Callithrix jacchus: one gene and its partner. The protein of the gene in region 2 purifies or fractionates together with the protein of the main gene of each other region. This does not show direct contact. Links are inferred from orthologs where the notes say so. Each region holds a gene or a part of one and is shown on either strand. Other genes may lie near its edges.

What was found.
Region 1: the proteins of C18H1orf226 (region 2) and PLK1 purify together in Homo sapiens (affinity purification with mass spectrometry; 3 studies listed by BioGRID and IntAct, counting the BioPlex papers as one, with this or other methods). This does not show direct contact. The link is inferred for Callithrix jacchus from reciprocal best matches to the Homo sapiens genes C1orf226 and PLK1.

Annotation. Positions count from the first base shown.
Region 1 is NC_133513.1:24,296,771-24,299,932, reverse strand, and holds the end of PLK1 (serine/threonine-protein kinase PLK1), read right to left. Parts: intron 2,302-3,162; coding exon 2,224-2,301; intron 1,709-2,223; coding exon 1,554-1,708; intron 1,453-1,553; coding exon 1,270-1,452; intron 1,099-1,269; coding exon 898-1,098; 3' UTR 597-897; downstream 1-596. Other genes in the region: ERN2 (serine/threonine-protein kinase/endoribonuclease IRE2), read left to right, coding at 1-123. UniProt on the Homo sapiens protein: Serine/threonine-protein kinase that performs several important functions throughout M phase of the cell cycle, including the regulation of centrosome maturation and spindle assembly, the removal of cohesins from chromosome arms, the inactivation of anaphase-promoting complex/cyclosome (APC/C) inhibitors, and the regulation of mitotic exit and cytokinesis.
Region 2 is NC_133519.1:22,230,924-22,234,739, forward strand, and holds part of C18H1orf226 (uncharacterized protein C1orf226 homolog), read left to right. Parts: coding exon 1-31; intron 32-3,219; coding exon 3,220-3,547; intron 3,548-3,816.

The DNA of each region.
Region 1 (3,162 bases), on a different chromosome or scaffold from region 2:
CCACGGCTGCTCCTTCATACGCACCAAGCCATGAGGAGCTGCACCTCCGAGAGCCTGTTCTTGCCCTACTACCTGCCAGCGTCAGAAGCCAGGGGACCATGCCCTGGGGCCGCAGGGAGGTGAGGTGGGCCAGAGACCACACAGATGGTCTTCAAGCTGGCTGGCTGAAGAGTTGAGACTGTAGCTGGCCTCGGAATCAGAAAAGACTGCCAGTCTGAGTGCAGTGGCTCACACCTGTAATCCCCACATTTTGGGAGGCTGTGAGAGGATCAATTGAGCTCAGGAGTTCAAGGCCAGCCTGGCCAACATGGCAAGACCCCATCTCTACAACAAATTTTAAAAATTAGCCAGACATGGTGGTGTATGCCTATAGTCCTAGCTGCTTGGGAGGCTGAGGTGGGAGAATCGCTTGAGCCCAGGAGTTTGAGGTTGCAGTGAGCCACGATCATGACACTGCACTCCAGCCTGGTGGACAGAGAGACAGTGTCTCAAAAAGCACACCACCCAAGACTGGCAGAGACTGGGCGGCCTGGGGCTGATGAAGCAGAGATGTTCCCTGGAGCCCAGGTCCTACCCCTCAGGAAAGACAAAAAAAAGAAGATTTGCATCTGTTTAATGTATATAAAGCCAAGAAAGGACAGTCCCAAATTCAATAGAAATATCCTGTATAATTCATACAGTGGGGTTTTGGGGAAGAGACAAAGATATAGAACCCACAGCTGAACATGTACAAAAATAACTTACACAGCAACCCTCACCTGCAAGGATAATGCAGCTCTGCCCAGCCCCCAGGGCTGGGGGGCGCACTGCAGACATGGCACCATGGGAGCCAACCTGTGTGGGCCCCAGATGCAGGTGGGAGTGAGGAGGGCACCAGTCCAGAGGTGAGGGAGGCTATTAGGAGGCCTTGAGGCGGTTGGCTGAGCGCGAGCTCAACAGCTTGTCCACCATGGTGCGGGCATAGCGGAGCCGGCTGGCCAGCTCCTTGCAGCAGCCGTACTCCTCCAGGAGACTCAGGCGGTATGTACGGAAGTCCCGCTTCTCGTCAATGTAGGTCACGGCTGCCATCAGTGGGCACAAGATGAGCTTGGTGTGATCCTGTAAGAGAAGGGGGCAGCAATTGGTGATCCCAGAGGCCAGTTTATGTTAGGGAGCAGAGGGAAGACACAACAGGTATAGGTACCTGAGCCGCTCACTCCGCACTCAACTCACATGGGCCACTGCCAGGCACACGGAGCCTACCCCAGCCTCTGGTGACCTCCAGCTCACCTGAAAGAAGTTGATCTGCACGCTGCCGTTGCTGAGGTGCAGGATGATGGCACTGCGGGTGCGGAACCAGGTCCGCAGGTAGGGCAGCCGGGCAAGCTCATCACCTTCACGTGGCGTGATGTTGGCACCTGCCTTCAGCAAGTGCTCACTCATGTAATTGCGGAAATATTTAAGGAGGGTGATCTGGATGAAAAGTAGGGGAGGGGTTCTAGAATTAGAGTCTGACCCTCTAGCACAAGTCCCACTCCCACAACACCACGCCCCCTGGGCAGGATGGCACTCACCTTCTTCATCAAAGAGTTGGGATGGGAACTCACGGTGAGGTAGGACTCAGTGCCATCACGCTCTATATACTGCAGGCTGTCACCATCGTTGTAGAGAATAAGGCGTGTTGAGTCATTGAAAAGCACCCCCACACTGTTATCACACAGCTGATACCCTAGAGATTGGTGGAGAGAGGCCTCAGAAAGAGGGAATTGAAAGTGGGGAGTGGGGCCAGGTGAGGCGGCACATGCCTGTGATTCCAGCACTTTTGGAGGCTGAGGTGGGAGGATTGCTTGAACCCAGGAGTTTGAGACCACCAGCCTGGGCAACATAATGAGATCCCATCACTACAGAAAATTCTAAAAATTAGTGGAGTGCGGTGGTGTGCGCCTGTAGTCCCAGCTACCCAGGAGGCTAAGCCAGGAGCTAGCCTGGGAGTTTGAGGGCTATAGTAAGCCATGATTGCGTCACTGCACTCCAGCCTGGGCGATAGAGCAGGACCCTGTCTCTGGAAAAAAAAAAAAAAGTAGGGGAGTCAGGGAGCACTGGGAGCTGGAACTGGGAGGCCTGGGATGGAGAGAAGAGAGCACTAAGAAGAGAACTTGGGAGCCCAAAAAAGCCAGAGTCTGTAACAACTGAAAGGTCACCTGGCTGTACCTGAGTCACCCACCTGTTCTAGTAGAAACCTACCAAGGCCGTACTTGTCCGAATAGTCCACCCACTTGCTGACCCAGAAGATGGGGATACAGGCAGGATCCTCAGCCTCCTCTGAGACAGAAACAGACAAACAATTGGTCAGGACCAGCCTCTTCCCCTCTGGTTCACACATGTGGCCCACACCAGGGAACAGGGAATCTTGCTGAGCACTCCACCTGGGCTGAGTTGAGAGGCCTGGGGTCCCAGAGAAGAGCAAAGCAGGGCCTCTACTGCTAACAGGCTTAGACAAGCAGCAGCACAGACATCTACACAGAAAATCTCAGCACAGAACGACAAGTTCCACTCATTCCTTCATTCCACTGACTGATTCATTTATTGAAGGCCTACTATGCCTGCCAGGCACTGTCACATGTACAGTGAGCAACAGACAAAACCCCAGCCTCCACAGAGCTTACACTGTGGCTGTAGGGACAAAGACTAATCAAATTAAGTATGGGCAAAATGTCAGTGACTTCTATTATGGTAAGAGTCAGAGGACGATATTATCTAGTTTTCCAGTTTGGAATAATTAAGAAACTGTGAAGACAGAAGCCAGTTGCAAACACATCAAAATATTATGTTCAGTGCATGCAACAAATCCCTTATTTAAAATCCAATAAATAAAGATGGATATGTTGGACTATGTTGGGTGAGAAGTATTATGGAGAACTATGCAGCGGGCAAGAGGATGAGAAGCACTAGCAGATAGGCCAGGGAGATGCTCACAGTGGTGACACTGGAGCAGACACTTGAAGGAGGCCACAGTGTGAGCCATGAAAGCTAGTGTCTGCTTTCATGACAGGGCCAGGGAGCCATAGGTGTGAAAGCCCTGAGGTTGCAGCCCATCTGGGCCTGTTATTTCAAGTGTCTTGAAGAAACAATAGGAACTTACTGAGCAAAAGAAACAGCATATGAAGGTGGCATATCAAGGTG
Region 2 (3,816 bases):
CACCTGCTTTCCGAGCTCCTTTCTCGGACAGGTAAGATATCCTGTTTGTTGTGGATGACTTACATCTCCAGATGCCCTCCTCTGCTTGAGTTGTATGCATGTTGGCGGGGGGTGCTGTTGGGAGGGTCACCTGGCTGGGATGCAGTCATCTCTCTCTCCTTCATTGCCATTATTTTCTGAACCACCAAGCGTCTAGTCCTAGGGCAAGAGGGACAATGTGTGGGGATCATTAGAGCCATCATCAAGAAAGGGACCCATTGTACATCCTCAGACGTGGGGATAAAGTGACCTCCAGCCAGAGCCCCACTTCCACTTTGAATAGAAGGGCAGTTCTCCTGGTCTAACCTCAAGAGCCCCTGAAGACCACTCCCATAGAGGGGGTTTTGAGTGGCTTTTATAAATGGAGAAAGACTTGTGAGCAGTTTCCCTACAATGCCAGCCCATCATGCACGTTTTAAGAATTCATAGAAAAGTCAGATTTAGTTGAACAAACTTATTAAATGGCTATTAAAGGCTCTACATGCAAGACCCTAAGCTAGGCATTGTGGAAGATGAAGAAACACTTCAGATGCTATGGCCTCTCAAGGAGCCTATCATTTTAAGACTGGGTGTATTTACTGGAAAGATTTAGACAAGTGTGAAGTGCATGATAGGTTATATTTCAATTACTTGAGAACTCAGTGCATTTTATGGAGTATGTTATGAAGGATAGAGAGCAAAAAATGCAGGAAATCCAAAATGGTGGATAATCCAGAGTTATGTTTATTACTAAGAGTCTTTTTTTTCTTTTTTTTTTTTTTGAGATGGAGTTTCGCTCTTGTTACCCAGGCTGGAGTGCAATGGCGCCATTTCGGCTCAGCGCAACCTCCGCCTCCTGGGTTCAGGCAACTCTCCTGCCTCAGCCTCCTGAGTAGCTGGGATTACAGGCACACGCCACCATGCCCAGCTAATTTTTTGTATTTTTAGTAGAGACAGAGTTTCACCATGTTGACCAGGATGGTCTCGATCTGTTGACCTCATAATCTACCCGCCTCGGCCTCCCAAAGTGCTGGGATTACAGGCTTGAGCCACTGCGCCTGGCCTACTAAGAGTCTTTTAAAAATAATAGCTCATAATTTAGGAATCACCTTGGCAGGCGTTTTTGGTGCTTGCCTTTTTAAAACCAAATAGGTCTGCTGCGAAAATTCACTTTAAACCAGTAAGGAAGCCAGCAAGGAAATGTCTGATTTGGGAAGTGGTGGCAATTTGCCTTCCCCAAGCATTTTGTATGGTTACATTATAGTCTATGTACTTTCTGGTTTGGGGGATTATAGTTAAATGGTTTGGTTTCCAAATCTTCTTTGCTAGTTTGCGATGACATGATTAAAGAAAATAAGAACAATGTGGGACCTGACAGGCAAATTGTGCCAAATTGGATGATGTGGCAAGATATGCACTTAGGAGAATCATGAGGAGTTGACCCTGCTTGCTGTGGAGCGGGCTGGAAGCTTCTGCTAGAGTGGCGGGTCCATCTGGAGCCCAGCCAGCTCAGGTCCTATGTCCAAGGGATGCTGTCATAGTGTTCCCTGGCCTGACCTCACCTTGCAGTGGTGAAGATCGCAGGACTCATCTGCAGAGAGCAGTCTCCACTCCTCTTCCCACAGCTTTTCCTCCCTGCCACCCAAAGGCCCTTAGAATATGGCATATCTAGGTAGTTGGCCTAGCAAGGATAGCGCCACTGAAACCACAAAAAAGGTTGCTACCGGCCCAGGATGCAGCAGTGTAGGGCAGAGAGAATTGCTTTACATAACAATTCAACAGAAGAAAAACTGTACCCTAACCCCAGTTACTCTTAGAAGAGGCTCAGTGAGAATAGACACTTAGCAGAGGTGTTGACAAGGAGAGGAGCCTAGTGATCAAATGGTCCAGTAATCGTCTTCCCTCAGACTGACAACTTATCTGGGGTAGTTGTTATAGACAGAAACCTTGATCCAGGTCCCAAGGCCTCAGAGTAGGTCTGGCTGCCTGATGACTAAGCTGGATTTCCAGATAGGGAGAGGATGCCCAAGTGTGAGTGTGTGGACAGCATGGCTTAGAGCCTGGAGCTCCAGTCATTTCAGTAACAAACTTTGGAGCTACTATCTTGCCCACCACAGTTTTCTATCTACAAAATGGGTGTTGGCGATTCAAGATCTGTATTGAGCACCAGCTATGTGCCAAACCCAGGCTGGGCATTGAAGATACAAAGATGAATGAGGCATGGCCTCCTTGCAAATCTTTATGACCTAATGGGTTTATACCCAGCTCTTTGAGTTCAGTTTCAAGCCAAAGAGGACCCCTACATGAAGGACCATGTACCAGACATATATAGGCAGCTTTCCATGATTCAAAGCAGGGCGGAGTTGTAGACAGAGCCCTGAGCTGTGGGTTAGAAGGCCCGAGTTCTAGTTCCAGCCCTGCTGCTATTTAGCTGTGTGACCTCAGGCACAGCACTGTATTACGTGGAGTCCCGCTTGCTTCATCTATAGGTAGGTATCCTTCCATGCACCACCTCCCTAGGCGGTTGTAAGGATTCAGTGAGCTGATGTTCACTAGGATCCTCAAGCTTCACTGGCACCGAGCACCTATCCATTTGGTAGGAACTGATTCTGAACCACCACTTAGCATCTCTGCGAGAGCTGGCCCACTCGCTCAAGTCCTACCTCTGCAGACCTGAGGAGGGGCTGCCCCATTTTTCATGGAGAATATGTGCTGTATGCCCAATACCCATACCCCTCTGTCCTTCAATGGGGAGCGTCTAACACCAAGCCTCATCCATGCCATCCCTCCACCAGCTTCCAACCCTCTGAGAGCTCAGCACGTGCCCAGGGCGATATAAAAATGTCATGTTTCTTTGCTTCATCCTCATTTTTTCTTTACTTCAAAGGGCCTGGTGATTCCAAGGTAAAGCGGGCAAGCCATGAGTCAAGGAGGCAGGTTTAAAGGAATAATTTTATTTTTTTGTGGCTAGGATTAGTCCCTGATTAACGTGGATGGGGCAGAGCTAGAATTTCTAATTCCTCTGCCATCAAGAAAACTGCAGTGGAAAGTTCAAGAGTGTCTTTGCTGGCTCTTTCTTGAATGTTTCCAAAGCCTGGAAGGTTCTAAGTTTTGGGTGTGGCGTAAGGAAAGCTGAATGATAGGGCACAGGTCCTGCTCCCCTTTCCTCATTCTGTCTGTCTGTCCCCTCTTTGTTCATAGTTGACCATGGCATGTTTGAGAATCTGAACACAGCCCTCACTCCAAAGCTCCAGGCCAGCCGCTCCTTCCCCCACTTGTCCAAGCCCGTGGCCCCCAGCTCTGCCCCTCTGGGCTCTGCTGAGCCTGGGGGGGCGGGACTCTGGGTGGGCAGCAGCCAGCACCTCAAGAACCTGGGCAAAGCCATGGGGGCCAAAGTGAATGACTTCCTGCGGAGAAAGGAGCCCTCCAGCCTGGGCAGTGTGGGTGTGACGGAGATCAACAAGACCGCAGGAGCACAGCTGGCCAGTGGGGCTGATGCGGCTCCAGGTGCCTGGCTGGAGGAGGAAAGGTAAACCCCTCACCCGCCCAATACCCATGCCCCTCTGTGGACCCAACTGAAAAGGTGCAGGGACAAACTGCAGTGTCTCCACAGGACAACAGCCCTGAGGAAGAGTTGTGAGATTGTCCCGTACAGAAAAGCTGCAGGATCAGGCCACACTTGGGAGCTGACTTCACCTTCCACAGCCACAGCTGAAGGTTGCTGAGTACCCACCATGTCCTCAGCTCTGTGCTGTTGAAGGTTACTGAGTGCCCACCACATCCTCAGCCCTGTACTGA